Linked DNA regions of Rattus norvegicus. The protein of the gene in region 4 purifies or fractionates together with the protein of the main gene of each other region. This does not show direct contact. Links are inferred from orthologs where the notes say so. Each region holds a gene or a part of one and is shown on either strand. Other genes may lie near its edges. The genes, in order: Anapc2, Anapc7, Anapc13, Anapc16 and Cdc27.

Region 1 (6,704 bases), on a different chromosome or scaffold from region 4:
TACTGCAGTAAATTTTGAATGTTTGATTACCAACTTAGACCCAAGAGTCTTTAGTAAGCCAGGTGTGGTGGTGTACTCCTTTAATCCCAGCTATTGGGAAGCAGAGAAAGGCAGTGAGTTTAAGGCCAGTCTCGTCTACATTAAAAAAAAAAAAAAAAAAAAAAAAAGGCTTTTATGATGAACTGCAACCTTCTGAGATTAGTATAGAAACTTTGCCCTTAAGAAGCAGCCTATTCCAAAAAGATCACAAACCAGTCCCAGACCAAATCATGCTCTGACTTCCTCCAAAAACAGATAAAGCTCAGGGTTAGCCCAGCTCTCCCTGCTTAATAACATGCTCCTCTCTCAGGACTACAAATTCAGGGCTGGGAACTGTATGTGAACCCTGAGGGCTATCTGAATGGTCAGGCCACAGTGGCCACACAATACCTGGGTGGAGGAGTCGAGTCTCTAGGGCCACTTTGAGGGACACGAGGAGCTGCTGCCTCTGATCCGTCCTCTCCAAGCAGTACTTAAGGTCCTCAATGGCTGGCCGAGAGTCTGGGAAGTCTGAAAGAGAATGGTGCCATAGGGATAGGTAAATGAAAAGGGGTGATAAGCACTAAAGGATACACACAGCACAAGAAACACAACCTGGCAGGGCTCAGACAAGAACCATCCATCAGGTACCAAACATTCTACTGTCACTAACTGTCACTGGAGGCCAATCTGACTATAGATGGCTCATCTAACCAGAAGCACATATGACTGCTTCACTGAAGGAACACTTTACCAGGCCAACCAACTACTCTCTCCATCCACTGTGGATCATTAGTACATTAGTGTGAGGTGTAATGACACTTAAAGCTCCAACAGCTGCTTTGACTCACACAACACAGTCATCCCTTCCATGGTAGATAGCTGAACTGTCCCAAGTTGTACTAGTTCTTGGGAAAATGGAAATAAAATGTTGCCAAACGACTCTTGCAATGCAATTAGTAAAAATGCCTTCAAATCTTTTTTTTCCCCCTCCTGATTTTTTGAGACCACAGGGTTTCTCTGTGTAGCCCTGGCTATCCAGGAACTCAATCTGTAGACCATGCCAGCCTTGAATTCACAGAGAACCATCTGCCTGCCTCTGCCTCCCATGTGCTGGGATTAAAGGTGTGTGCCACCAATGCCGGCTGCAAATCTTAAATTTTAAGATTAAAATCTTGGGGTTGGGGATTTAGCTCAGTGGTAGAGCGCTTGCCTAGGAAGCGCAAGGCCCTGGGTTCGGTCCCCAGCTCCGAAAAAAAGAACCAAAAAAAAAAAAAAAGATTAAAATCTTTATGCATGTGAGTATTTGTTTGCAGGGACTGTTTGCTGCCCAGATGTATAGGCTCCATGTGGATGCCTGGTACCAGTGGAGGGCAGAAGAGGGTTCTTGATCTCCTGGAACTGGAGCTACAGATGGCTATGAGCTGCCACACGGGTGCTGACAACAACCTGAGTATTCTGTCAGAGCAACAAGCCATCTTAACTGATGAGACATCTCTACAACCTGACACTATATTTTCCTACATGTTATACTTAAGTCCACTCTGCTCAGCTTATCACCCTGCCAACAGCAGCAGGTAAGGCAAAGAAAATGACTGGGAAAGGTAGGTCCTGCAAAGTAAGAAGCAGGACCAACCTCGGATGATGCTGAAAAGCTCCTCAATACGTAGGCTGGCATAGATTCGGTAGAAGAATCTCTGTACGTGACAGCGCCAACGACGCAGTGTGTTCCCAGCTTCTGGAGAAGTTGGTCTGCTGGGGTTGTCCTGAAGGAACACTTTGCCAAGCCAACCAACCACTCTCTCGATCCACTGTGAAAGATCATTAGTATGAGGTGTAATAACATTTAAAAGCTCCATTCTGACTCAGCAACCACACAGCTTCGGCAGGATGCTAGTGGAGCCCCGACCTGTGCATGGAGGCCAGAAGTATCAGATCTACACTCCACTGCCCAGGGTTCAATGCAGCTGCCCCAGGAGTTCCCAGGTTCATGACTCTACACGGCTAACACTGCGGGGACACCCACTTTGATCATTCCCTACCATGGCTAATATGCATCTGCAGCAGACAGACACTCAAAGAGTGGGAGGTATGGACTGAAGCAGAAACAAGGTGCACGACTGCATGGAGCTCAACCTGGCTTCTTCACAATGCTGGGAACCCCACAGAAGAATTACAAACCATACCTCAAGAGTATGGACAACCAGAGGCATTCACTGAGGACAGCCTAGCTCCAGACTGGTTATAGGTTAATCCTGAAGGGAACTGTTAAGTCAACATATGTTTTATAGGACAGTGGAAAGAAAAGGGTCTGGTAGACCTGTCTTGCCACACCTGCCTGAGGAAACTCCTTGAAGCCACCTCTGGCCCAGGATTTAAAGGTTTTATTTTAAATGCACAGACCTATTTGGTACATACCAGATTTGTCCTTGTCACCAGGGTCCAAGATTGGCCTCTATACGGCAGCAAGATAATCTCAACCATCACCACTCCACTGTTTGCTATTAGGTCTACCCCAACCCCATCGTTGCCCTTAACAGGAAACAGACCAAGGAGGAGATTCTCACCTTGTGGAACTCACGCAAGAAAGAGCGCTCATACTCTCCTCGGCAGCGGTCTTCCATCCTTTCCCGGGTCACCTGATGCAGGGTGGTGGTCACGGCCTCAGCGCTAACCCGCTCCAGCAGACTGAGCCTATGCCTGGAGGAGATCCCCGCTTATGGAGAACCCACAACACATGTGTCCTTTACCCGAAGGGGTCTTCCCAGAAAGACACTGTACACACACCCTAGGCCTATGTCCAGGACAGCATACACTTGATACACAATAATCCCTGGTCACAAGTATAGGCGAAAAAGACCTCGCCATCCAGTTTATTAGCTCTATTCAGAGATCTTTTTAAAGAAACTGAGGCATGGCCAGGAAGCAGTACTTACAGGACCTGGCTGAGCTGGTTGAACTGCTCCAGGGCCTGCCGGCACCAGCACTGCTGCTTGTCACTGCCACATCCTGCACACAGAGGGCTCTGCAAAAGTCGGTAGTACCTGCGGCGGGCATACCGGCTGTCCAGCTCTCCCTCTAGTTCTGGATCTGTGCCCCCTTCTCCTTTTCTCTTGCTCTGCATATAGACTCTCAGGAAACGACCATAGAGGCGCTGGACCATCTCCTGGAATGTCCTAGGGGTGGAAAAAAACAGGACTCCCCGCAACATAGTGTGAACTTTCTCCCGAAGACCCTGAGCTCCAGCGCCCATCAGCAAGCCCAGACGAGTCCATTTCTCTAGGAGTTCTAGGCTATGCAGATAGGGATCCAAGCGGCTTTCCAGCAGACCGAACGCATCCAGGAGCAGCACAAGGCATTGGGGTTCATCGACAGAGTTTTCGCGAAGGGAGATGGCATTCCAGAACTCCGTGGCAATGTTGCCTTGAAGGTCATTCTGCAGCACTTCCACGAACCACTCCTCCAGGACAGAGTGCAGACCGTGGGCCCTCAGAACTTCTACCGCTGCACGAAGCTCTTCCTCCTTTGGTGGAACTGCACCGCTGGTCCGGGAAGATGCCTGGAGCACGGAAAACCGTGAGCAGAGGGGCGGAACAGGGGTAAAAGGAGAGGAGGGGTGTGGAAAAAAACAGCAGCCGAAGGGCTGCCAGGAAACCAAACAAATCAGATAGCTGAGGAAGGAGGCAAGCCCACTACGGGCAGAGCACGGGAGCTATGAGGACCCAAGGATGGACTCCCTAAAGGACAAAGTCGTGGCAACTCTGCACAGGCCCGCCAACCTTTCCCCGGCCTCACCAGCCCCAGCGCAGCCGGCGGCACCAGACCGGTGCTCACAGTATTCCAGGCAACCACGAGCTCCTGTCCAGGCCTAGAGTCGCAGTCATCCGTGGCGACAATTGTCGTTGTCGCCGCCGCCGCCGCCGCCACCGATACCGCCACACCCTCGGCCTCCATCACTGTCCACAAAACAGACCCGCCCAGCGTAGCGCACGGTGATGACGCAAGCGCGGGCTGTGGCGCAGTCGTGACGTTCGCTTGCTCGCGCGCGCTGTGTAGGCAGTGCGCAGGCGCGGGCTTGGCGGTGCAGGCGGCGGTTGAGGCTTACGGACGCGGTGCCGACCATGACCCAACAGGGCGCGGCGCTGCAGAACTACAACAACGAGTTGGTCAAGTGTGAGCGTCGGGCGCTGAAGGCCGCGGGGCCGGGGGCCGGCCAACCCACACACTCGGGAGGCTGCGTCGACATGCCTCACGAGCTCCGCTCTGCGGCCTCCCCTCTGTCGTGCTGGTCGGGGTCCGAAGTTCACGAGCCCCAACCTACAGCTCTGTCTTCCCGCCCACCCTAGGCATCGAAGAGTTGTGTCAGAAACGAGAGGAGCTGTGCCGGCAGATCCAGCAGGAGGAGGACGAAAAGCAGCGGCTACAGAATGAGGTGAGGCAGCTCACGGAGAAATTGGCCCGCGTCAACGAGAACCTGGCGCGCAAGATCGCCTCTCGCAACGAGTTTGACCGGACCATTGCGGAGACAGAGGCCGCCTACCTCAAGGTGGGGCTCTCAGATATGCGTTGTCAGTGCCTCACTACCATCTGAGGCTAGGTAGGGCCCATTGTGGTTCAGAGGCTGTAGGCCGGACAGTGGGCTGTTTGTGGGATCCAAGAGAGTGAGCAGTGGTGTGCTGGACAGAGTACCATAGTGGTGGGTGAACTAACTCAGCCTGGCTTTGCAGGGTGGAAGAGCTCTGGGACAGGTGCAGGAGGGAGGATAATTTTATTGCCCCCACCATCCTCCATAACCCGTTGACTCAGCACAGATGGCCAGACTGAGATTCCCATCCTCCACTATCAGAGGCTGAGGCAGTGGGAATCTTCTTACCAGAGAAATAACATCCTTCTATTTCTCTGGCCCCAGATCCTGGAGAGCTCTCAGACTCTGCTTAGTGTACTCAAAAGAGAAGCTGGGAACCTGACTAAAGCCACGGCTTCAGACCAGAAGAGTAGTGGAGGCAAAGACAGCTGACAAGCCCTGTCTCAGCCGTGGCCTATGGCTGCTCCCCAACATGTCTGTCCTAAAGCATCTTTGTTCTCCATGGCCTCAGATGTCTTTTATCTCTGGTGCCCTGAGTGTCAATTTCTGACCTCCACCTGCCTTGAGTGACAAGACAAGCCCCAGGACAGTCCAATGGAAGATGTGTTCCCAGCTCCGCACTCACATGTGTTATTGGAACCTTGAGCTCCTGGTCAGCTCCATGAGGAGCCTCTTTCTGAAGCTCCTGTATCTCCTTGGGCTGCCAGGAATGTCTCGGTCCTAGTCCAGGTACTGTGGGAGCCCCTCACTTTGTCTCCTCAGCCACTAGGGCCCCAGGCCAGGCATATTGAAGAAAGAATCTTGGCTCCAGAACCAAAACCTTAGGGCCCATCCCCATGACCTCTGGTGTTTCAATAAAGGTTGTTTTGCAAGATCTGTGGCATGGCCTGCCAGCTACCATGTGTCCTGTTGGTAGGAGGAAGACCTGCAGCTTTTCCCTGACTCTCCTATCTTCAGAGCACAGAGCTAAAAGTTCTCACCTCACTCAGGTCAGCCCTAGCCTGGAACTTTCCTTGAAAAGCTGCTGCTGATATTTCCCCAAGTTCAGCACACAAACTACTATTCTGTGAGGGGCTTTGCTGTACAATGGTACTCAATACAGAGCCTGGCTCAGAGATAGAGACAGGGACAGTTCATCTCTCAGTACAAAGTTCTGTTTGGTCCAATACACTGCTGCTGCCAGGACCCATCTCCCAACCACATTGTTGCTTACTTCCTGTTTCCATGTGCCCTATGACCCAGCCCTTTGCACAGCTTCTGGGGAAGTTTGGAAGTATTTGTTGACCAAGAAGATCCAGAAAACAGCTGTGGTAGTTTTCACCTATCATCCCTTCGTTGAGGAAGAAGCCTTAAGTTCAAGGCTATTCAAGTGAGCATAGTAAACTGTAAACCAGTTTGGGACACAGTGTGAAACCCTTTCTTAAACAAAAAAAGTACCTATAAAACTGGGCTTTTAGGGGTTGGGGATTTAGCTCAGTGGTAGAGGCCTTGCCTAGCAAGCACAAGGCCCTGAGTTCGGTCCCCAGCTCTGGAAAACAAAAAACAAAAAAACAAAACAAAAAAAAAAAAACTGGGCTTTTATTTTCTTGAGAGAAACATACATTTTCACACTCTGCTTGAGCCTAGTCAAGCATTGTATTTGCTCTTAGGTGACAGGAAAAGGAGACACATTTAGTGTCTGTAGATGGCCCTATCTCAGCACTGGCTGCCAAGGCCTCTGAGAACAATTTCCAAGTAGGCAGCTCTGCATCTCCCTAGACTTTTGGGAACTCTGTTGCTACAGCCTTGTTACAGGCTTATAGGTCAGGAGGTATCCAAATCAAATGTGAGAAAAGATTTCCAAGTTTCCATTTAGCCCCATTCCTGTGTGATACACAACTAGCTACCTTACTAGGCTCCTGGCCCTGCACTGAATCCTGTCAATTACAGCACCCACCTTCCTCCCATCTGGCATCTAGGCCCCTGGGTCATGGAGTTGCACAGTCCAGACATTAGGTCCACTTCCCATGGTCCTAGCTCTGAGGGAGAAAGTACCAGGCTTGCAGTGGGGAGAGAACAAGAGTAAGAGGCAGACCAGCAAGAGCTCAAAGTGTAACAATGC
Region 2 (6,487 bases), on a different chromosome or scaffold from region 4:
GAGATGTTTATACATTTTTCTCTGAAAGTGAAGAACAGACCAGGACAAGCAATTCTATAAACAGGAGTTTGCTTCATGTTATTATTTAGTTTTGGCTGTTTGTTTGTTTGAAGACAGGGTCTCACTATGTAGCTCTGGCTCTCCTCGAACTTGCTCTGTAGACCAGGCTGGCCTCAAACTCAGAGTTCCACCTGCCTCTGCCTTCTGAGTGCTGGGATTAAAGGTGTGTGCCAACATGTCTGGCCCAAGTATTTTAAACATAGGGGAAGCCATATGTGGTGGCATAGGCCTTTAATTCACATTCAGGAGGCAGAAGCAGAAAGATCTTGGAGTTCAAGGCCAGCCTGGTCTATACAGCCAGTTCCAGGACAGTTAGGACTACAGAGACCCTGTCTCTCTCAAACAAAATGGGAGAGAAATTTAAAAAAACAAACAATTAGGTACCACTGCCAGTATGATCATACACTTTGGTAGTCCTAGCATTTGGAAGCAGAGGCAGGAGGACCAGGAATTCAAAGAGCTATCCTTGGCTATATAATCAGTCCAAAATCAGCCTGGGCTATGACTCTCTCTCAAAAAGTAGGGTTAGAAGGGCTCTGTAGATAAGAGCATGTGGGTTTTGCAGAGGATTCAAGTCTGAATCTCAGCACACACATCAGGCAGCTTGCAACTGCTTGAACTCCAGCTCTGACCTCCAAAGAATCCGATGCCTTCTTCTGGCCTCCAAATGCACCAGGCACATAAATATAAAAATCAAAGTAATTCCAAGTCTATTAACAGTCATTCCCTAATCAGATTTCACTTGGCAGGGAATAAACTATAGTACCTTCATAAAAAAAAATTTTATTATTACATATGTGTACTTGGATGTCTGTGTACATGTACACACAACAAAAACAAAAGCAAAAACACTCAAAACTGTGAGGTGGGGGAGAAAAAGGCAAAACAAGAGAACATTCAAACAGCAACATAGAGGAAGGCCGAGCACTGCTTCCTCAGTTTTAACCTTACCCAACCACCTTCCTTTTCCAGAGAAAACAATTGTTTTCCTTGTTTTCCAAGTATGGAGAGACATTACTAGGCAAGCATGTTACAGTGTATAAACATTTGACCACTTCGGGAGTAAAGCATCAAACGCTTATTTTTCAGTGAATACATACATATAATCAGGCCTTCCAAGAAATTTGTTTTGCTATTGGCCATGCCATAAACCCAAGCCTGGGTCTTATACATGCCAGGGAGGCTCTCCAAGTCTGAGGTACAACTCTAACCTCTAGAGGAAAGCTGTAACAAACCACTCCATAAACACCCTTCATTCTTTGAATTTCCTATGTGACATTACACACATTGTTCAACCAACTTGCCCATTTTCGATTTGGGCAGTGCTGAAGATGAAACCTATGGTCTCAAACATTTTAGGTAAGAATTCTACCACTGAACTTTTTTCAACAGTGTATACACTGTCTCTTCAACAAATAACAAAATATAAAGGATACAGGTCAGAACTTAAATGCTTCCTGTAGCTAAAGAAAACTGATGATCTAACCTAGTGTGAACAAGCATGGATTAGCCAAAGTCAGACTAGCTAGAGAAGCAAACTCAAGAGCATTCAGACAATGCTAACACACTGTCAAGACTCAAGAGTAAAGATTAGAGCATTAATCCCCAATACTATTTGCTATGACGAATCACTCAGACCCAGGGGGAAAGGCCTCAGAATCAACATAGAAGACTGACAGAGACCAGTGCGTCCCGTGTCACATTAAGAAGATGGTGATCGGGGCTGGAGAGATGGCTCAGAGATTAAGAGCACTGAGTGCTCTTCCAGAGGTCCTGAGTTCAAATCCCAGAAACCACATGGTGGCTCACAACCATCTGTAATGGGATCTGATGCCCTCTTCTGGTGTCTGAAGACAACTACATATTTACATATATATGTAAATATTTTACATATATATACACACATATATACATATATACATATATATATATGTATATATACATATATATATGTATATGTATATATACACACATACACAGTGGTGGACTGCAGTAGAAACTATCTCCAATCACAGACAACCAGAACTCAAACCCACTTGCTCCTCTAAGTTCTCCGGAGTATAATCTTGGTCGACCTATTGGACTGCCTTGTAATAGACACGCACTTTCATTAAGTTTAATAGTGCTTCTCACACATGGAAACTGCTCTTTCAACAGATGGCAAGAGAGAAGGGGAAAGATCAAAGTGGAAAGGTCTGGTGCTAGGAGGTCCGTTTAAGAAGAGGCTTCTGAGCTGAAAACTGAACCAGGAAGCAAGCAGTTCTGAAGTGAAGCCACAGGTGCCAATGCCCGGAGAGAATGAACTTGTACTGAGAGTTCGGGCAAGGTGAGAAATCAAAGAAAGGAATGAATAGGTTGACTTGGGAAGCCACGTCGAAGGGTGAAGCAATGATGGGGAATTTTTATCAAGGCCCAACAGGCACTCAAGGCCACAACTGTCCCGTGCTTCAACTGAGACTCAGTAAACCGGTCTAGACTCAGTAAACTCCGTTGGTAGGGTTTGCCTAGCACGCATGAAATCCCGGGTTCGAACCCCAGGACCACACGTACACCGAGCACAGTGGGGCAAAAACCAGCGATCCCAGCTTCTGGGAGCAAGGTCTTCCTCGACTACACAGTCTGTTGCGGGCTCGTCTGGGCTACAGGAGAGCCTGTTTGTAAACAAACCAAAACAAACCAGTCACGACAATGCGGCTGCGTCGGGCCTTACAAAAGGCTGCCAGAGTCCTTTAAAAAAAAGGCGCCACGACGCTCGCCAAGGGTGCTCCCAGTCTCGAAAGTGGGGTTCCCTCCCTACGCCAGAGCGGAACCTCCATGTCTGACTGGGTGGACTGGGTCTCCGGGAGGCAGCAAGAGGACTGCGTCGTTCTGGAAATAGCCAGTCCTCCGAGACCACCGGAAGAGGCCCTCGCTATCCGCGCAGCCTCAGCCGGACCACAGCGTCCTCCACTATCTCAGCCCCGGCTCCCAGACCGCCGCTCCCCGCCTCCACTCACGGGTTGTTATTACTCATGGTCAGCAGCAAGCTGCTGAGGAGCCGCACGTTGGAGTGCAGCCCAGCGGCCGCCATGTCCCGCACATGATCTATCACACTCATCCTGCCCGGCGACACCGTGACCCAGCAGCAGCTGACAGAACCCCCAGGAGCGGAGCCGAGTCTCAGGGAAAGTTCCAAAATGGCGGCGGCGGCGGGGTCCTTCTGGTCCAGACGCGGCTCCGCCCCCCGAAGATATAGGTTGCTACGGATGTGCCTGCGTAAAAAGAGGCAGTCGTGAGGCGAAAGGGGTTGCCCCATCATTAAAGGATAAATTTTATTGAGGACTGACCACGCTAGAAGGAATATCCGAGTAGGAATAGTGGTTTTGCTGAGATAAAGACAACCCAAGAAGAATGGACGCCTCTCAGAGGCTAGCAACAATGTTTAGGAGTTCATCATAAACCTAGCAGAGGCGGAAAACTAACAGTTAAAATTGAATTTTTGAATCAGGCGCCCAAGGGCTGACTTTTTTCCACTACGCGTGCGCTCCAGGGGAAGGTGCCACGCCCCCTCATCTGCTGGCTTGTGTTCCTGTCGCTCGCTGAGTAGATTCCTTGCTACAAGTCATGGTTTACCAATTCAAGTGGCCCGCTAAATCCAAGTACAAAGAAAGGATAGGTCCAGGAGTGAGCTGGATCTCTGATGGCTCCACTGTCAACATCTCAAGCGTTTACGAACTCGTTACTGCATTGCATAGTCACAAACTGCAACGCTGAAGCCATTCCCATAAAGGGTGGAGAGCCGACTCAGAAGTTAAATCTGCATGCTTCTCTTGCAGAAGAATTCCGTTCCTAGCACCTACCTGGTGGCTCACAACAGTCTGTAAGACCAGATCCAGGGCATCCGACTCCTTCTGGTGTCCATGGGCACATACATGCATGTGGTATACAGACATACATTCAGGAATGCATGATAATCATAAAAATAAATTAAAAAAATAACAACTTATGGCCGGGCGGTGATTTGATCCCAGCGCTTGGGAGACAGAGGCAGCCTAATCTCTGTGAGTTCGACATCAACATGGTTTATAGAGTCCAGGACAGCTAGGGATACATAGAGAAACAGTGTCTGAAAAAGCCTCCCCTAAAATAGATAAATACTCTGAATTGTCATTCATTCCCTACTTGCCAACGAAGAAACCCAAACTTTCAAATGTTAAAGCTGGGCACCTTAAGAGTAGAAGCACTTATCAGCAAGGCTAGCTTTCTAAATTGGACCCCCTGTGTCCACCATGGTGGAAGGAGAGAGCAGACTCCTTCACGTTGTCCTCTGAGACAGCAGCATGTGCCTTTCACTCCCACAAAATAAGTAACTACATGCAAATAAAATTTAAACAACTGAAGATGTTTGTTTAGATTTGAGATTCAAGGTTTGTTTTCATTTTTTTTTAATCCAGGAGAGAGAGAGAGAGAGAGAGAGAGAGAGAGAGAGAGAGAGAGAGAGAGAACGAACTCACATGGATACTGGGTTAAAACTCACATTCTCATGCTTCCGTAGTATGGTGGTGACCTGAATGAGAATGGCCCCGTAGGCTTGGATAGTTGACTGTTTGGTTCCCACTTAGTGGATTGTTTAGGAAGGATTAGAAGGAGTGGCCTCGGAGGAGGTGTACCTCTATGGGTGAGCTTCGAGGTCTCAAAAGCCCACACCACGCCCAGTCTCACTCCCTCTCTGCCTCCACCTTTCAGATCAGATGTAAGGCCTTAGCTACTGCTCCAGAGCATGACTGCCTGATGCCCTGCTTCCTACTGTGATGATCATGGGCTAACCCTCTGACACTGCAAGGCAGTCCCCAATTAAGTGCTTTATTTTGTAAGTTGCCTTCGGTCATGGTGTCTCCTCACGGCAATAGAATAGTATCCAAGGCACGCAGCAGGCACTTTACCAACTGAGTCCTATTCACTTAATCTTAAAGAAACAGATGCGAAAGAAAGTCCATTTATTCTAAGAAAAATCATGACAGAAACACACACACACACACACACACACACACACACACACACACACACGAATGTTCTGTCTGCATGTACAGCTGCATGTCAGAAGAGAGCATCAGATCCCTTTATAGATGTTGTGAACCACCAATGTGGTTGCTGAGAATTGAACTCAGGACCTTCGAAAGAACAACCAAGGGCAGCCCAGGGCTATATAGTGAGTTTCAGGCCAGCCTGATGTATCTATAAGAAGACCCAAGTCAGGAAGAAAACATGCCAGGCATGGTGACAAAATCCTTAAGGCACAGCCCTTGGGAGGCAGAAGCAGCTGGATCTCTGTGGGCTCAAGGCTAGCCTGGTCTACCTTAGTAAATTCCAAGACAGCTAGGGATACATAGTGAGACCCTGTTTCAAAACAAAAACAAACAAACAAAAAAATACGTCCTACTTCTTAACGGTAGCCACATAACGGGAATAAGTGTTGAGCAATCAATGAAGAGTCAAATGGATACAGTGGGACCCTGTGGGATGATGTCATACAGGTGAAGGCGGGTACAAGATAGAATAAGGCCTGGGGTTGGGGATTTGGCTCAGTGGTAGAGCGCTTGCCTAGGAAGCGCAAGGCCCTGGGTTCGGTCCCCAGCTCCGAAAGAAAGAAAAAAAGGAGAAAGATATACCTAAAAAGGCAAAATGCTGCCATTTGGGGTTTGTGCCAAGATAGAATAAGGCCTGTCATTGGACGAGAAGAAAAGATGGGTGGGAGAAAAGTTTGAAGGAAGAGGAGGAGACTGGAATGGGAGGAGACTGGGGGGAGGAAACCACCGAAGGAACATGGAGGCTGATGTTAAGATTCCACTCTGTGGGGTTGGGGATTTAGCTCAGTGGTAGAGCGCTTGCCTAGGAAGCTCAAGGCCCTGGGTTCGGTCCCCAGCTCCGAAAAAAAGAACCAAAAGAAAAAAAAAAGATTCCACTCTGTACCTTTACAAGTTGTTATGAATGTTCTTTTTCTAAAAAAAGATTTTATTTATTCATTTTATATATGACGAGTACACCGTCACTGTCTTCAGACACACCAGAAGAGGGCATCGGATCTTGTTACAGATGGTTGTGAGCCACCATGTGGTTGCTGGGATTTGAACTCATGAGCAGTCAGTGCTCTTAACCGCTGAGCCATCTCTCTAGCCCTGTTATGAACGTTCTTAAGGGATGAATGTGTATAGGGTTTTGTGTGTCTAGGTGGGCAATTGTATTTTATCAATTGGATCAGAGGTTGTTGTGTGTTCTTTCATGTGGTGATTTAAGTTCAAGAGAGTATGTGGTGGCTGGAGACACTAGGCTGCCACGGAATTGGGATGCATATTTCTGGCATGGTGGCAGCCTGCCTTGGTAACTGGATGGGCAGAGAGATTGTTGCCAGGCTCAGAGAGAGGCCATTGGCCGTGTGATATGGGATGGA
Region 3 (6,760 bases), on a different chromosome or scaffold from region 4:
CAACCCCCACTGAGTCTCCCCACATTCTCTCTCAGACTCCTTTTCCTGAGCCCCAATTACAACCCACCAGTGGAATCGCTACATCCTCATATGGCAGCTTGTCCTCCCGCCAAGCGTCGTCAATAAGATCCAAGATCCTTCCATCTCGCTGTACCTCACTGTCCATCCTCCTGCAGCTTTGATCTTGTCAGGTCTGTAAGCCAAAGAGGTAATTTTTTTTAACACTATGAAGGTACAGTATAATCCAGTACCAGGATTGCTTTTAGCTTGAAACTGGTTTTGTTACTGTATTTAACATCACCCCAGGAGAGTCCCATCTTGTGTCAGATGACATCAAGGCCACAGTTCTCACCTCTGCTGACAGGTGCTTGATGGATTAGGCTGCCGTGTAACCAGAGGGCAAACTTGTCTTCTGAATAAGGTCCTTTCTTTTATCTTTATGATCTTACAGAATCACCCTTCCCTGCTTGTGATGTCTTCGATGAGTCTCTGACTTGACTCAGACTGGCTTGGTCTGAGTGTCATCTCCTGCTCCTTAAGCCCTCCCCCACTATTTGGCACAAGTCTCCACCTGTCTTATTCAAACACTGGCATTTTTAAGGCACAGGAGCTAAGGGAACATGCTGGGTGACACTGAACTGGGAATCATAAGGTGACCAACCATAGGCCAGCTGCTAATCCTTAGCGCAGGAACAATGTGGGCAGTTAGGCTTACCCAGGGAACCACTTCCTTTCTTAAAGAGCATCCAGACTGAACTCAACAGTAAAAGTTTAAGATCAACGGTGGCAGTTCCAGGTTCTTTGTCCCCTTGGGCTTCCTCCTTTTTGTTTTTTGAGAGTCTCAAATTCTCTGTAACCGAAAGCAGCCTTAAGCTCCTAATCCTCCTGCCTCTACCAATGGGATTACAGGCCTGTGCCACCGTCTCTGCTTTGTGAGGTATTGGGAACAGACCCAGGGCTTTGTGTATACAGGTTAAGCACGCTGACAACTGACTTACATCCCCAGCTGAGGGGGATCCTGCAGGAGTCCAGGGAGGTGAGGATGAAGTGAAATTTCACCAGTCTGGCTTAGACTTGGGGAGTTTGATGCCAGGAGGTTTATTTCTAACGGACTTAAACTGGTATGATTTGAAAAAGAGTTTCCTGGTATAACAATTTCTGGTGCACAAGAAAGTGTAATTACATTAAAACTGCACTTAGGGTCCACGACATTCCTTCCAAGAAGGCGGGTTCTAGAGATAGGTACTGGGGTCCAAGGAAGGTCTCAGTCATACAGCAAGAGAGTTCACCTGGGCTATCAGCGACCTTCGCCCTGGCTGTAGGAGCCTGATGTGGTCTGGCCCAACAGATCACTCAGATTACAGGACTGTTAATCACTTCCAATTCCCAGCTCTTTGGATAGAAGAACAGGTTTTACATCTTACCATTGGAAAAACAATCCTGCACGTTTAACATTTTCCCTGGATATTTGTGGGTGCAGGGATCTTTGTGCTGCGATCCCAACATCCAGCCTTCATCCTTCTTGAAAAAAAAAAAAAAAAACCCTGTTTATTTGTGTATGTACATGTGGAAGTCAAAGGACAACGTGGCGATTTTGGTTCTCTTCTTCCATCAAGTGGGTCCCAGAGATTGAACTCAGGTTGCCTGTAAGCCACTAGGCCGTCTTGTTGGCTTTCCTCAGTGTCTGTTCCAAAGGCTCAGGATGCTTGCTTAGGCCCCTGACCACAGACTGCTTCACATGTTTCTCCTCAAACTGTTGCAGTCTAACTCAAAAGACTGGTCGTCAAGCAGTGCTTTTTGGGTTTCTGGCTTCCAAGTTTGTTCCTTATCACAGACACAGCCTATTGTGCTTCTTGCCACAAAGTGGCAACCCAAGGAAAGGTCCTAAGGGTTAGCACCAGTAGCTCTCTCAGGAACTGCTGTTTCTGAGAGAAGGGAGACTCAAGCAAGAAACAAACTTTGCCATACGGCTATGTGCTTGTCTCCAATGGTGTAAAGGCAAAGCTAGCACTATCTACCGAGTCTGCAGGAGGGAAAGGGCTTTCACTTTAAAAAATTAAACAAGATGGGGCCCAGAAGGAGGTTCAGTGGACTGAAGTGCTTGCTGTGCAAACAAGGGACCTGACTTCAGATTGCTGGCACCCACGTAAAAAGCCTGGCACGATGGCACACACTTGTGTCCTCCGGGAGGCTGCCAGGCAGTCTAGTTGAATCAGAAAGTTCCAGGTTTAGTTTAAGATTCAAAGTAATAAAGGAAGACACAGACGTTGACCTCTGACCTCTACACTCATCTACGACTCCACCTGTAGGCAGAAACCACACCTTTTTTGTCTGCTCATGCACACAGACACACCACACACCCGCATACAAACACTGAAGCCAAAGGTGGTCAGCTCCTCCTGCTGAGTGAAAACCAGGTGATGGCTTAGCAGTTTTCCTCAGACTTAACCAGACCCTAGCTAGTGGATAATGCAAAGCTAGCTGAAGAGCCACTTCTAGTCACTCCTCTAGGGCTTGACAAGTTTCCTCCCCTTTCCTGTCAATCTTTTGTTTTTATAGCTGTGTCTTGGGCTACATTTCATTCTTTCCTGTACTGATTTTCCCAGTCCTATACAGACTGCATCCTTTTCTAAAGTGTTCTGACTTCCTTCCAGTTTTTTAGCAGGCTCTTTGTCCTTGAATGCTTTGTTGCTCACATTAAATGATCTATGAAACAAGTTAGGTCAGCTTTGTGATTGACTGGCAGAGTCCTACTGTCTCCAGTGGTAATGCGGTGATTCCCAATCTTTCAACAAGCTGGCCTCAATGTTTGTTTGTTTGTTTTTTAATTATTTATTATGTATATATCATACAGCTCTCTGCCTGCATGTATGCCTGCAGACCAGAAGAGGGCACCAGATCTCATTACAGATGGTTGTGAGCCACCATGTGGTTGCTGGGAATTGAACTCAGGACCTCTAGAAGAGTAGACAGTGTTTTTAACCCCTGAGCCATCTCTCTGAGCCTGGCCTCATGATTTTTTAACTCCCTGAGCCCGGCCTCAATGTTTTTTAACACGACCCTCTCCCACATGCCTACAAACCGGCTTGCTTTTTACCCACCCACTGTACTTCATCAGTTATGCTTGCTCGTCCTTCTAAACAACAGGAACCGCGGCAGGGCTTTGAAGTCTACATCTATTTTCCTGGGTCAGGTGATCGGGTGCTCCCCCTGGGAAAAGCAAGCACAGGCAATGCCCCAAACCCTTACGACACAGCATAACCTCTCTAGGTTTCTTAAACTTTTTGTACTCTTCTCTTACTATGCCCGGTCCTCCAGATAAATTCTCAGCTCTCAGATTGTCTTGATCTCTGAGCACAATATGTGACAACAGGAGTTTTTTTGTCCAGACATCTCTTTCTAGATATTAGATGCGTACGTCCTATGAGACATACTCACGTTTTATGTATTTTCACAATCACAGCTTTGTAAATGTATTTCTAAGCTAAAAGCACGGGGGCCGATACTAAAATTGGCCTTCGCAGGCCACCATCTTGGGTCACTAGACGCAGAACCACCCGCTGCAGCCGTTTCCGGTTCGAGTGCTGGAGCTACTACGTGCGGAAGTGCAAGGGGGAGGTCGAGCGTCGCCATGGGTGCTCCGTTCCACTCCGCACAGCGTGCAGTAAAGAAGTGGCTCTGAAGGTCGGTTGAGAGTACCGGCCTGCGCTTCTGGAAGCGCTGAACGACTCTGAAGTCGAGGGCGAACGCTTGGCTACTCTCAGAAACCCGGGCGGCGGGCGCGAAAAACCCTTACCCACAGAGCGCGCGTCGGCTTCCTCCGGGCCCCGCCCTTCTTCCGGGTCACGTGACGCACGGCGCTCTCATACCCCGTATGTAGGTGAGTCCATTCGCTGCTGTAGGGGGCGGGACGAACGTCGATTTATTGTGACGTGCGCGCGTTCCCGGTCAGAGGAACGGCGGGCAGGCCCCGGGGCGCGCTCTGCCGGGGGCGCGCTCCGTAACCGACCGCATGCCCCTAAGACGGGCGAGCTGCGGCTTGTTGTGCGTTTGCGGCCCTGGCCACCGTGGTGCCGCTAACCTTCTGGCCGCATGGCCCGGGGCCGCAGTTCGTTGCGGCCCACCTACCGCGGGGGCCTCCACTGCACGCCCACTGCTGTCCGGCCGCTGCGTCCCTGGGTTCCTCCGTCTCCTCCCTATGGGGCTCTGAGCTGACCGGCCAGGTGCTACGGCCAGCGGGAGGGCGGGTTGCTTCGCTCCCGGGGAGGAACCCTGCTGCTACGGGTGTAGGACCAGGCCTTAGCATTAGCCACTCAGCGTGAAGTCCGCAGGGTTCCCTCGTAATGTTCGTAGGAAAGGTGCGGGAACCCCTGATGCAGGCGAATTGCGGAACGCTTTCAAGTCGAGTGAAAGTTTTGAAAGAGCAGTTCGATAACAACGCTTTACGCGGAGACACTTGACCGTGAATGGATTGATTGGAAAGGGCTTTTGTACTTCACAGAATCGTGGGGTTACAGAGTTTTCATTTATAAACTGTACACTTATTGCTCAAAGCGATCCCCTTTCTCTCCAACTAGCACCGGCTCTCCTTTGTTGCTCTGGTCGACCAGGCTGGCCTCATTGTAGATGGACCTACCTCTGCCTGCTAGTTAAGGATCTGCACCACCTCGCCTGGCTTTTTGAGTTCTCTTTCTTGAGGCCAATTTAGAGTTTTAAAATGTATTACTTTATTAAAGCAGGGTAGGTGCTCTTTGTACAATTCTTCGAACATTTGCATTTATTTTGTATTTATATTTTGTAAGTCAAAGATCAATGGCTTTAATTATCTAACTATTTACACCTACTCTTAAAGGCTGTAGCTTAGTGATACGATGAAACGAATTATCTTCGTTTCATTCATGAATTATATTCATTCATTGGAATGCAGCGCCATTTTTAGGTAATTTTTGTCCCTGCTTCTTGTCTTTCACTGTGCCGTCCTCAGCGATCAGTTAAGGAGGTTGTCAAACTAAAATGGGTTAGAGATTTATAAACAGATGCATGTCCCTTTAGAATGTGTATCTGCTGATGCTGTTTCCTCCTGTGGGGAGGTAGGGGACAGTTCCTTAGGCCTTCCTGTCCTGTGTAGTGGCTGATGGTGACAGCATTAGTCCACACTATCATAGCTAACATAGTTAAGGTACTCTCCATGCCAAAGGCTAGATTTGCTTTTTTAAGTTTTACAAAATCACGGTGCTATCTTTATATCAGTACAAATTTATAACAAATACACAATATCAATATCCAATGGGTTCAGGGTTTTTCAGCTACTCCATATGTGCTTGAAATTGAAATACTGTGCTTGGACCAGATTTCCTGCAGAGAACTGTCTGTTGCCTTCGATTGCTAGGCCTTTAAAGCCCTCTAATCTATAGCATTTTCTTACCTCCATTTATCATTCAGATTTAACTGATTGTATATATTTTTGACTATGTTCCTCTACTCTTCTATGACCTCTCCTCCACTGGCTAAATCTTGAATTACACTGTCCAGTGTGGCAGTCATCAGCCAGTCCTGATATTTTAAATGAAATAAAAGTTTGGTTCCTCAATTGCGTTAGCCACATTTGATATACCCAGCGTTCACAGGTTGCCTAGTGGCTACTGTTTGATCAATACAGATAAAATGTTTCCATAATTACAGAAAGTTCTGTTGAAATACAATGATCTTTTGAAATAGTGTTAGATTCAACCTTGATTTTTGATTGGAGGTATAAGAAAAACGTAATAGTTATAGGCTTTATATTATGAAAATTATCGGTTGCATTCATTATCAGGGAGACTTGTAATGTCTGAGTCATCCCACTTGGGATGTTGAGATTAAGCTGTGTATGTAGTGGTTCCTATGCTGTCTGCTCAGTTGATCCACCATGAAATTGCCCAGGAGCCCTTTGGTCAATAGAGAGATTTAACATGGCTAATAGTGCCCAGGTCTGTTACTGCAGGACAGCCACGGTCATGCGCCCAGTGCACTCTTATCTGACTATCCTGAATACAGCTTATCCAGGAATAGCAAGAAAATGCTTAACTCTGTTCCTTTCCTTTCAGACTACAGCAATGAATTGGTGGCCTAGCAACCTCCAAAGGTAACCCAAGGGCTCTACCTTAAAACAGATAAACTTGAATGTGTTTAAATCTGTAGTTTAGCAACCTCCAAAAGTAACCCAAGGGCGTTACCTTAAAAACAAACCAACAAACCAACAAACCAATAGACTTTAATGTGTTTAAATTGTTTGAACATATAACAATTTTTTTTTAAAAAGGATTATTTATTTTAGGTGAGTATATCGTAGTTGTCTTCAGACACACCAGAAGAGGGCAGATGGTTGTGAGCCACCATGTGGTTGCTGGGAATTGAACTCAGGACATCTGCAAGAGCAGTCAGTGCTCTTTACCACTGAGCCATCTCTCCAGCCCAACAATTTCCGGTATTTTTTTGATACTGGAAATTGTTTTGTTTCTAGCTAATAGGTACCCTTCAAGACCAACAGTTGTGATAATTTCCTCCGAGGTTTGCTTTGGCGGGGTTTTGGAGTCAGGCTGTCCTTGATCTTACTATGTAGCCAAGGATGATCTTGAATGTGATCTTCCTGCTTCCACTTCCCATGTGCTAGGGTTCCAGGTGTGGGCATCATGCCCAGGCTGGTGCTGCTGCTGCTGCTTTCCCTTTCTGAGCAGTAGGTATAAAATGCTGTCATAGCCCCTACGAAACCCCAAGCCCA
Region 4 (4,957 bases):
CTAGCCCCAGGAGCTTTCACTGTACAAATTTAAGGCTGGGGATTACAATACCATGTTTCATAGAGTCTGAGCTTTTGGGGCTGGCAGACTGGACCTCAGCTATGCAGCTTGCTCTGGACCTCATGCCCCTCTTCCATGGTATGTGTGGGGTAGTATTTAGCTATAGAAAGGGCTAATTAAGGTCTGACACAGTGAGAGATGAGTCAGAGGTAGACTGGGGGTGAGAGACAACAGCCAATGAAAGGTGCAGAGAGCTGGAACACACCTTTAAAAGAGTAGTCAGGGCTCTGTTGGGAGGGCCTGTAACAGCTGAGTGATTCATGGGAAACATTCACAAAGGAGCCCCGTGTCTCTCTAATCTCTTCCATTATCCTCTTGCTAGCTTCTCTCTAAGGTCTTATGTAGCCCAGGCTGGTCATGAAATCCTAATTCTTCCACTTTCACCTCCCAAGTGCTAGAATTACTGGTGTGTGATACCAAGCCTGGCTTCTCTTTAATGTTCAAGGTCACATTATGAAATGCTCAACCTAAACGAGGAAATGCTCTGTAGTAAGTGTAAGTACCAGGGGCAAAGGGAGGTGGTTTCACTATGAAACCAGAGGGCTCACTGCACTTGGGAATCCCACTGCTCTCTAGGGAAGCAGCTGGGAATGGCCTTTCACAGTGGCTGAGCAGACTACAGAGAGGGTGAGGCTGTGGGCCGGTACCCCCAAGCTCTGGTTTGCTTCAGACAAGAGCAGTGGGCTCCACAATCGGTCAGCTTTCATCCACTCCCACTCACAGGGCTGTCTTCTGCCTGAGCTATGCAACCCTGCACAGCAGTTTATTTTCACTGGCTTAGCCTTTCCCGAGTGAGTGAGGCTAACTCGTCCCTCTCAGGGACTCTGTGCCAAACAGTTTGAACTCCTGAGATGAAGGATTAAATTCATCTATAATTAAGCAACTGTAAGCAGTTCGGGCAGATGTGTATGTGACAGAGCACTCCTAACTGTGCAGTGGTGTGGGTCATGACAAGGTCTTGGTCATCCAGGCTTTTCTCTATCATCCTGTAAAAACCTAGTGAAGAGAGGAGGGTAATCCTCAGACATATTAGGCTGAGGCAGAAGGATGACTATAAGTTTGAAGCCAGCCTAGCTACGGAGAGACGAGGTTCCAAATGAATGAACCAACAAACTGTTACATCGACTGAGGTAGCAGTAAGTTGGAACTTCTATACAAGCGAACAGCTCACAGCAAAGCAAACCTACTGTTTACTTAAGAGAAGTGACTGCAGAATCTAAGGGAAAACTCACCCGGCCTCTCCTCTCTGTCTAAATCCCCCCGACTTTGAAAGGATAAGCACACCAATTTGGAGCTCTTGCAAGGATTTATTTGCTACAGAATTGCTTTCATACCCCAGCGAGCTGGACTAAGGACTTCTGGGTCTAAAAGGATTTAGGTCACTTCATGTTTTCAAGTGCTGTGACATTCAAAAAGCAATTTTGGTAGGGCAGAGATGGGGTAGAGTAGCACCATTTGCCATGTGGTAAGAGGCGAGAAAAATAATCAGTAATATTAAACGTCTAAGAATAGAGAAGGAAAGAATACTTTAAAGTTCCCATCTGGACAGTCCCTGAGCTGAAATCACATTTATGTGTGAAGAGAAATGTTTGGGCTGTGACCGTGAAGTGACAGATGCTGACCTTGGGCTTGGCTGGTGAAAGCTTCCAGACACTCTGAATGACAGGATATACGCCACTCATCTGGCTGATTCTGGCACGTGTCCTAAATGTCTCCTAAATCCCAACTCTCCTGGTTCTCTGAAAGGCCTGTGGTCATCTGATCCCCAATACTTCTTTTTATTTTTGAGACAGGGTCTCTCTACATAGCCCTGGCTGTCCTGGAGCTCCATGTAGATCAGGCTAGCCTCGAACTCACAGAGATCCTCCTGCTCCTGCTTCCCAAGTGCTGCCCAATACTTTTCAGAACACGAATGTGAAAAACACCCCAGTGCCGTCTCACAGGAGCACTTGTTGCCTATTAATAGAAACAGAGGAGCCGTATGGATGTGAACTCAGACATGCAGCTCACAGTATAGCTGTGACTCTCTGGGAGACCATGCAGCATCATCAACCCGAGGAGGGTGTGAACCCCAGCAGCTGCTCGATGGGTTTAAACCGCCACTCATCAGCCTCCAGCTCTTCCACCAAACCAGCCAGTTTTTCCATCCGAGCGACTTGCTGATCTGTAAAGAGTCAAGAGATAGAACACCAGGACATTTCCCATTAGACTGCCACCAAAGTTACCAACATGACAACTATCTAGGCTTAATCTCAAGGCAGACTTTCCTTACTTTATGTAGGTCTGAAGACAAACTTTTGAAACCAAACCGAACCAAACTCCCCTTTTCTAGCCATTCTCCACTCACCTGCATTCCAGGGTCAAGTGCTCCACCACTGGGCTCTATCGGCTTCCATGCACACTGCCCTTTGTGTGGATGTATACATGTATGTGGATGTGTGTCATGTACATGGTGGGCAGAGGTTGGCACTGGCTAACTTCCTGAATCCGTTCATTCTCATTATTTGCTTATTATTTATATGTATGTGTATGTGACTAGGGAAGCTAGAAGGGGGTGTCAGATCCCCTACAGCAAGAGTTACGGATGCTTGTGAGCCACCCTGTGGGTGCTGGAAATGAAACCCAGGTCCTCTGGAAGAAGAGCCAGGGCTCTTAACTGCTGTGCCATCTCTCCAGCTCTTATCTGAACATTGTTTTTTCTCTTGCTGTCTGAACCAGGCAAGGTATGTCACCCCTTTATCTCCCTTCAGACTCAGCCCTTTCCAGGACCAAATCTCAAGATGGGGCTTCCATGTTCTTTTCTTTCTCTGAGTCTGCAAAGTTTTTTATATTAAGATAATTTTAAATACAGTTCTTAAGAAATACAGGTGACTCTCTTGCGGAGCCCACACCCATACTTGGGTATGTGCTCTCCTTTTCCTAAGGTTTCTCTCTATTAATCCTACTAATCCCTATGTTTAAATCTGTATTAACAACTTCCCTCTGCTCAGAGGCAAGCAGGGTTTATTGCTGCAGCAAAGTAGATCCTGTAGCAGGAGAGGAACTCAAAGTGAGCCCCTACCATCTCTTAATAAAGAAAAGAGAGGGGCTGGAGAGACGGCTCAGCAGTTAGTTAAGAGCACAGAGTGCTCTTGCAGAGGTTCTGAGTTCAATTCCCAGCACCCCTGTCAGATGGCTCACAACCACTTGTAACTCCAGCTCCAGGAGTCCCTGTCATCATTAGGCCCTTGAGGTCCTCGCTCTCACTTGCACACACCAATATGTGGACTGCATACCTACGTGCATAATTAAAAACAGAAAAAGAGAGTGTGAGTGTGAGGGAAAGACAGGGGGACACACATACACACACAGAGACAGAGATGAGGGGGGAGAGAGGGGGAGGGAGGGTATGAGGGGAGACACTCAGAGACAGACAGACAGACAGACAGACAGACAGACAGACAGACTTGGGAAGTGGAGGCAGGAGAAGTGCTCTGAGTTCTAGATCAGCCTGGGCTACGCGTTTCAGAATTTCAGAAATGAGTTTCAGAATGAGAAAATAATAAGAAACATAATTAAGGGAAAGCCTCTCAGTTATGAGGGGCTGGGGATGAGCCCCAGTGGTGAAGCACATGCTAGTGTATGCCGTGCTCCTTGTTTGAGCCCTAGCACTGTGAAGAGTAAAAAGATAATTACTACAGTCACTCTCTCAGATGTGCTAGATGCTAAATCGTGGAGATGGTCTTCGGGGCTCATGTCTGCAATCCTAGCTCTCAGGTGGCTGAGGCGGAAGCTGCCATGGTTTGACCTGGGAGGACTGGTGCATATTGAGACTCAGTGAAGTGCATGTGCCACCCGGAGTTCAGGGCTTCCACAGGGCAGAAGGCGCTACAGACACTAGAAGAATGTAATGTCTGAAGGGGAGCAGTAGCTAGTCTCAGGAGAGGGGACAAAGGCAGTTGAGGAGCAGGCAGCAGCAGCTCCACTAGAGAACTGAACCCGGGGCTTCAACTTCAAACCTCCAAGGGGATTTTCAAGCTCAACAAGATTTTAGAATGTCCTTCAATTCAGAAGGTCCACTTAACCAGTGTGTGGCTTTTGCCACAGCAGTGACCTTTCATAGGCTGTGTCCCTTCACTTCCCATAAATGCACAGGACAACAGGTCTTATACTCACCATGTTTCACCTGTTTAAGTGTGGATGCCACTTGATAGCTAAACACCGACTCACAGAGGAATCGCTCAGAGCCATCTACAAGCGAAAGGCACAGGCATTAGCTTTAATAGCTTCTGGCAAAGCAAGAGAGGCTGTCCACTCATTCCCTGCTTCTACATTTGAGGTCTAAGGTGTTTCTGGTGAGAACAAAGGGGACCCTTTAGAACACTGCTCTGTACAAGCTACCTCTCTATACCTAATATTAAAAATAGTTCTACTTGTTAGAGAGTTCAAAAATAGTGTTACAAAAACAAAAACAAGAAGCCTTAGCCTGGTGTCCTAGTTACCACTGCCTGCCTCCTGACCTGTTCTCTTCTGTACAGCAGGCAAACAACTATATGGTACTTGTGTGACTTACTGTGACAGAACTCTAATTACTTCCAGTCTAAAAAACAGCCAAGGGAAAAACAGCTGTTGACCTCTAATTTATCAAATGACATCATCACGACCATCAGAAAACCTTGCTGGGAAACTTCATTCTGTAAGCACGAATGGTAACCTTGACCTTCCAACCAAACCGAGCACTGCAGTCGGATCCTGATAAGGAAAATGGTGCAAGCTCAGAGCCTAGTGTTGAGCTGGTGCCAACAACCGCCAACAAAAGGTGGCTAGCTCAGTCATGACGCCATCAGTGCCAAGGCTGACCCTACAAAACACATCCCTAAAGATAACCCACGTAGGAGAGGGCAGCAACCCCCCAGGG
Region 5 (6,053 bases), on a different chromosome or scaffold from region 4:
CAACGGACTACAAAACACAAAAGGTTTGTGATCACAGATTGCACTGCAAACCACAAAAGACACCACGGTGCTCCCTCCTGTCTTCACTCTCTCCACGAAGACAGCCCAGAACAGATAATGCCACCCTAAACAATCACCACCACTATACTGTGTTAAAAATTTAGGACAGCTATTACTTTCTTTTTTTTTTTTTTTTGGTTCTTTTTTTTTCGGAGCTGGGGACCGAACCCAGGGCCTTGTGCTTCCTAGGCAAGCGCTCTACCACTGAGCTAAATCCCCAGCCCCCAGCTATTACTTTCAATATTTATTAACTTGCTAAATATAAAGAAGATGAAACAGCAAGATTTTATACTATTCCTTTTGCACTGAGTAAAACAGTTAACTAGAAGTCGGAAGAGATTTAAAAAACTCGCCTGGTCCCTTTCTAAATTATAAAGACACTGCTCCTTTGCATCACCAGTTCTTCCTACTTTTTCTTTCTTTCTTTCTTTCTTTTTTTTTGTTTAAATTTCTGCTTGCCTAGAAGGGGAAGAGAAAAAAAACCTCTGCTTGCCTCTTCTGACCTAATTGTTCAGCGTGACAGAAATGATCTTAATTTAGTTCATGGACATTTATATAGCTAGATATTTAAAAGAACTAGATGTGTAAGTTGGAAAAGCCAACACTGATGAGTCTGTCTGATACAGGTGGTAGGCTATGTATATACGACAAGGACATTCTTTCATGATTGGTCAGTAACTCTAAGGAAGTAGTAATTATATAAAGTTGGATTCTCTTGAAATTACCTTAATAGATTGTAGTTTTAAATAAGTTTCTTTCTTTTCTTTTTTTGGAGCTGGGGACCGAACCCAGGGCCTTGTGCTTGCTAGGCAAGCGCTCTACCACTGAGCTAAATCCCCAACCCCTTAAATAAGTTTCTTTAATTATACCCAAGCTACATTTTACACAGAAAGTACCTTTTTAGTAGGTGCTCCGGTGGATGGCACGTCAATTACAGAAGGTGTATTAGTGTAGTTTTGTAAATAGGATCCATCTCCAGGACTTGGGGTTTCTAATGGCAAAATCCCAAAACTGAGAAGAGGTTGAAATCAAGGTGTCAAAAAGTCATCAAGGCATATATAAAGCAGCAGTATACTTAAGTTAGAAGGTCTAAAAGGAAGAGAATGGCAAGTCAGTCACCTGAGGGGCAGGTTCAACATGAGCTGTGAATGTAGAGGGCTCCACCCCCCAGAACCACAGAGACAGGACAAGGACCTGAAGAGAACAGTGGCTATTTTTCTTAGAAACGGACTGCTGTTTAAAAGCTATGATCCAAATGATGAAAACAAACCCCAATTTTTGGAACAATGAAGACAATATTCTAGAGATTACTAGTAATTACTTAATAATTATCGATACAGTTATCCATTGGTCTCTGCAGATGCCCCAATCAATCTCCTGGTCATGCTATTTTAATAGCTTTCTGGCCTTGAGACTCCATTCATAGTCTATTTTTTCATGAGTTTGTTTGATAGTTCTGGTATGTTTGATAGTTTGATACGTATCCTTTGTGAAGTGTTATTGTATACGTATATAATACACTTTTAATAATCTTGACAACATTATTTCCCAATGACAGGTTTCAGAAATGAGGACTGGAAATGCTGCCATAAGCACACCATACACATACATCTGGAGGGATTCACTGCTATCTGTAGATGCACAGCCATAAAGACTGGATCTTTAATACACATATACACTAATTGATACATATTTAAAAAGCTTTAATATTTTCCTCTGCTTAATTTTACTTTGAGAAAGATCATCACATATCATAGGCTTTGACTTTTAACTCCTGGCTGAGGAACTTCTGACCTTCCTGCTTCTACCTCCCAAGTGGTAAAATTTCATGCATTTGAAACCTTGCCCAGTTTACAGAGTGCTGAGAATCAAGCCTGATCTTTGTGCATGCTCTACAAGCATTCTACCAACTGAGCTACATTCTCACCCTTTTAATATTTAATTCAAAAATGTTATAGATGTATTTTTTTTACTTCATTTTTTTGAAAACAGAACGCCAATCTGTCACACTGATTTGAGAGGATGCTGTTTAAATTAACTTACATTACTAGTAATAGGGTTCACCAAAGATCATTAATATATTAGAATACACTTTAAAATATCTTGTGTGACTTACCTTGGGGTTAATGGGCTAAGAGCAGTTGGTCCTCCTAATAAACTTCGACCAGTTTTTGGTTTATTTTGAACCTGTTTAGATAATATGGAAGGACCAGTTCCAAGGGGGACGTTATCTGGTGAAATTACAGCTGAATCAATGTAAGACACGGAGGAATCTGTATTCAAGGAGTACTTTGAATTGGAAGATTCTAAGTTCAGTCTGTTTAATTCCTGAAACAGAAATTTTCTACCATGTCACTTATGATACACTGCTAAGGCCCAATCACCCTTGCGGGTGTTCAGAATACTTGAGCATCAGAAGGAAAGCACTTACAATCGTGTCTTGGGGAGTTTCTGTAAGGACTGTCTCAGGCTGTCTGTGAGATAAACTGTGGTTAGATACTAGAGCTGTACACGTGTTGGGAAGACAACTGCTAAAATTCTGTAGAGATGTTAATTTAAATGTTTGGTCAGGATCTGGCTTCTCACCTGTGAAGACCAAAAGACAAAACAAAACAAAAAACTTGCCTCTGAGGGGTAATTTCTTTTCAAGTATACATAATTAGGTACAAATAAAGCCTTGGAGTTTCAAAATTCTCCTGCCCACTTATGTTATCAATCTTACCTCCCAAACGCCCAATCATTAACTTATTGTGGAAGTTAACCCTTACATTAAAGATTACATTTGGGAAATAAACTAAATTACAAGTTTTAAATATCATAACTCAGGGCCAGCATGAAGGTACAGCGGGGAAGGTGTCTGCTGCCCAACCTGAAAACCTCTGCATGAAGTAAGATGCGTTTTGAGATAGGGTTGCCTGCAAACTCCCCTAGTGGTGAAGCTGAATGCGGCTGAAGCTGGCAGTAAACTTAGATCTTGCTGCCAGAAGGCAGTGGCAAACACCTTTAGTCCTGGCCCTTGGAAGGCAGGGGCAGATGATCTCTGTGAGCTCAAGGTCAGACTGGTCTACAGAGTTCCAGAGAAAACCCGAACTCAAAAAATACAATATAAAACAAACAGAAAGGAGAGAGAGAGAGAGAGAGAGAGAGAGAGAGAGAGAGAGAGAGAGAGAGAGAGAGAGAGAAATAGAAAAGGGGAAGAGGAAGAAGACCGCTCCCGCCACCGTCTCCATGAGCTTACCTATTTCACATAACGATTCAAAGGGAGACCAGAGGAAAGGATTTAAACTAAGGCTCTTTTGGTAACATTCTGATCCTTTGGCAAGCCGATCTGTCTTGCTGTGGAGAGAAACAATGGATTAAATAAACTATAAGCCCTAAAGCTTTTCTTATAATTTTTGATATAAAAAACCAGGTAAATCTTATAAAAATTCTCACAGCACTCTTTGATGCGTCCCTAAATTATAATTTTCTAGAAGCAATAGAAGTCATAAATAACAAATCAATCCATGGGTATTAACACCAATTAATTAATATTAATCCAAGGTTAAGGAAAAGAAAAATACAGGGGCTGTGGCACAAGCACAAGGACCTGAGTTCGAACCTCAGCATCCATGCCAAAAAAAAAAAGCTGAGTGTGACCATAAATGAGTGTGACCTCTGTGCTATGGGAGGTGGAGACAGGAGGATGGATGCGATCTGGTGACTGCCAGGCTCAGTGAGTGAGTGAGTGAGTGAGTGGAGAAGGAGAGAGGGAGAGAGAGAAAGGCAGAGACAGAGACAGAGACTGGACCCTGATTAAAAGAAGGTAGAATGACGTAGAAAGATCAACCTCTCCCCTGGCCTTACTGCAAACATGCAACGCACAGAAAATACATTCACTAAAGAAATATTAAAGGGAAAAATCCAATGAAATCTCAATGTTTGAGGATTGATCTAAACTCCTGTGATTAGCCTTCCTATATTTGCTTTTGGCAATTCCAAAATATACATATTTTTCTATCTAATCTAATTATACTTTAAAAGAATTTCTACATTTTTCCTTAAGATTTTTATTTTTTCAACCTCCTTCCCCCATCACTCCCTGTAAATCATTTATTGCCCTCAAACATCTACTTTTTTTGAGAAGCCACCATATAAGAAAAAAATGACTCTTTTTGCTGTCAACTCTCCTCTAGGTGCGTTCTGTTACTACTCCTTCCCGCCCAGCATGGAGGACGGAACACAGGCTGCTGCCTTTATTCTTAACCAGTTAAAACTAGCATTCCCTCACCTGATCAAAATACTGCCCAAACCTTATTACAATACCTTTTGACAATAATAAAAATTTTAACTACTGTTTCTTCCTTCTCCATCACAAAATATGGTGGGGGCTGTGAGTTAGTCCCTTTAATATTCCCAGGACCAAGTCCTTACCGTCTTTAGGTATAATGGGAGAAGAACCTCAAGCATCCCTCGAATGAATGACAACAATAATCATAGCTGGACGACAGCACCCAGCTTCATTTCTTTCTTTTTTTTTTTTTTTTTTTTGAGACAGGTTTTCTCTGTGTAGCCTTAGCTGTCTTAGAACTCAAAGATTCATCTGTTTCTGCCTCCCAAGTGCTGGGACGAAAGGCGTACACCATTTTTCAACTCATTCTATCTTTCTTTATTCTAGTTCACAACTGTGGCATGAATGATTTGACATCACCTGAAAACCCCCTATTTAACCAGATAATTTATTCTACACAAAAAGTCATATGTATCCCTGAATGGCCCAGAGCTCACCACAAATACCAAGCTGGCCTTAAACTCTGCCTCCTGCGTGCTGAGATTAAAGGGATACACCACCATACCTGGCTACTTTTTTTTTTTTTCTTTTCTTTTTTTCGGGGCTGGGAATTGAACCCAGGACCTTGCACTTCCTAGGCAAGCGCTCTACCACTGAGCCAAATCCCCAACCCCCCCTTTTTTTTTTTTTAACAGCAGTTCTTTTTCTTTCTTTCTTTGTAGGCTTTAATCCCTTTTTTCATAATATATAACAGATGGCATTTATTACATGCAAAAAATCCCGATGGGCAGTTTTGAATATTTTCTATTTTTCTACTCAACTTCAAACGTATTTTTTTTTTCTATTCTTTTTTTCGGAGCTGGGGACCGAACTCAGGGCCTTGCACTTGCTAGGCAAGCGCTCTACCACTGAGCCAAATCCCCAACCCCTTCAAACGTATTTTTTAAAACAGGAGTGAGAACCATGTTACTATTATATAGTAATTCTGAGTTCATGGATGTTAAAAATCCTTGTTACAGGGCTGGAGAGATGGCTCAGTGGTTAAGAGCACTGACTGCTCTTCCAGAGGTCCTGAGTTCAAATCCCAGCAACCACATGGTGGCTCTCAACCATCTGTAATAAGATCTGATGCCCTCTTCTGGTGTGTCTGAAGACAGCTACAGTGTGCTCATATATAATAAATAAATCTTTAAGCTTTAAAAAAAAAAAATCCTTGTTACACACTTCAAAGGTTACTACATATTGGAAGAAAATAACACTTAATTTGCATTACTGAAACCTACCTTCCACAACTCTAAGGGAAAGAGTAGTATTTAATTTTAAGGAAAAGAAACCACTGGTGTCTTCAGTGGTGACAACTTGCTAGAACTGTAGCTACTATCACTAAGGAGCTAAGCAGAGTGCAAATGGGACGACGTCCTTACTAGGTAACGGATGGAATGAGGTCATGATGGGAAAGGCTAGAACTACAAAGCCAACTGGGTCTGTAAACATCAATATAGGCTACATCAAATGGGCACAGTCCAGAGCACTTCTATACAGGAGTCTATATCAAATGGGCACAGTCCAGAGCACTTCTATACAGGAGTCTATATCAAATGGGCACAGTCCAGAGCACTTCTATACAGGAGTCTATATCAAATGGGCACAGTCCAGAGCACTTCTATACAGGAGTCTATATCAAATGGGCACAGTCCAGAGCACTTCTATACAGGAGTCTATA

Evidence for each region.
Region 1: the proteins of Anapc16 (region 4) and Anapc2 purify together in Homo sapiens (co-immunoprecipitation; 5 studies listed by BioGRID and IntAct, with this or other methods). This does not show direct contact. The link is inferred for Rattus norvegicus from reciprocal best matches to the Homo sapiens genes ANAPC16 and ANAPC2.
Region 2: the proteins of Anapc16 (region 4) and Anapc7 purify together in Homo sapiens (affinity purification with mass spectrometry; 6 studies listed by BioGRID and IntAct, with this or other methods). This does not show direct contact. The link is inferred for Rattus norvegicus from reciprocal best matches to the Homo sapiens genes ANAPC16 and ANAPC7.
Region 3: the proteins of Anapc16 (region 4) and Anapc13 purify together in Homo sapiens (affinity purification with mass spectrometry; 3 studies listed by BioGRID and IntAct, counting the BioPlex papers as one, with this or other methods). This does not show direct contact. The link is inferred for Rattus norvegicus from reciprocal best matches to the Homo sapiens genes ANAPC16 and ANAPC13.
Region 5: the proteins of Anapc16 (region 4) and Cdc27 purify together in Homo sapiens (affinity purification with mass spectrometry; 10 studies listed by BioGRID and IntAct, with this or other methods). This does not show direct contact. The link is inferred for Rattus norvegicus from reciprocal best matches to the Homo sapiens genes ANAPC16 and CDC27.

What each region holds. Positions count from the first base shown.
Region 1 is NC_086021.1:28,481,901-28,488,604, reverse strand, and holds the start of Anapc2 (anaphase-promoting complex subunit 2), read right to left. Parts: upstream 3,978-6,704; 5' UTR 3,973-3,977; coding exon 3,814-3,972; intron 3,578-3,813; coding exon 2,955-3,577; intron 2,719-2,954; coding exon 2,586-2,718; intron 1,830-2,585; coding exon 1,655-1,829; intron 550-1,654; coding exon 430-549; intron 1-429. Other genes in the region: microtubule nucleation factor SSNA1, read left to right, coding at 4,140-4,191, 4,365-4,564, 4,928-5,035. UniProt on the Homo sapiens protein: Together with the RING-H2 protein ANAPC11, constitutes the catalytic component of the anaphase promoting complex/cyclosome (APC/C), a cell cycle-regulated E3 ubiquitin ligase that controls progression through mitosis and the G1 phase of the cell cycle.
Region 2 is NC_086030.1:39,817,587-39,824,073, forward strand, and holds the start of Anapc7 (anaphase-promoting complex subunit 7), read right to left. Parts: upstream 4,029-6,487; 5' UTR 3,900-4,028; intron 3,314-3,899; exon of another isoform or gene 3,312-3,313; 5' UTR 3,158-3,311; coding exon 3,057-3,157; intron 3,041-3,056; exon of another isoform or gene 2,097-3,040; intron 1,935-2,096; exon of another isoform or gene 1-1,934. UniProt on the Homo sapiens protein: Component of the anaphase promoting complex/cyclosome (APC/C), a cell cycle-regulated E3 ubiquitin ligase that controls progression through mitosis and the G1 phase of the cell cycle.
Region 3 is NC_086026.1:112,081,494-112,088,253, reverse strand, and holds the start of Anapc13 (anaphase-promoting complex subunit 13), read right to left. Parts: upstream 3,850-6,760; 5' UTR 3,797-3,849; exon of another isoform or gene 3,608-3,796; intron 3,579-3,607; exon of another isoform or gene 3,439-3,578; intron 1,517-3,438; exon of another isoform or gene 1,425-1,516; intron 194-1,424; 5' UTR 167-193; coding exon 68-166; intron 1-67. Other genes in the region: Cep63 (centrosomal protein of 63 kDa), read left to right, coding at 6,096-6,124. UniProt on the Homo sapiens protein: Component of the anaphase promoting complex/cyclosome (APC/C), a cell cycle-regulated E3 ubiquitin ligase that controls progression through mitosis and the G1 phase of the cell cycle.
Region 4 is NC_086038.1:28,468,935-28,473,891, forward strand, and holds the end of Anapc16 (anaphase-promoting complex subunit 16), read right to left. Parts: intron 4,291-4,957; coding exon 4,216-4,290; intron 2,225-4,215; coding exon 2,109-2,224; 3' UTR 1,348-2,108; downstream 1-1,347. UniProt on the Homo sapiens protein: Component of the anaphase promoting complex/cyclosome (APC/C), a cell cycle-regulated E3 ubiquitin ligase that controls progression through mitosis and the G1 phase of the cell cycle.
Region 5 is NC_086028.1:89,924,250-89,930,302, forward strand, and holds part of Cdc27 (cell division cycle protein 27 homolog), read right to left. Parts: intron 3,397-6,053; coding exon 3,299-3,396; intron 2,647-3,298; coding exon 2,492-2,646; intron 2,389-2,491; coding exon 2,177-2,388; intron 1,072-2,176; coding exon 957-1,071; intron 8-956; coding exon 1-7. UniProt on the Homo sapiens protein: Component of the anaphase promoting complex/cyclosome (APC/C), a cell cycle-regulated E3 ubiquitin ligase that controls progression through mitosis and the G1 phase of the cell cycle.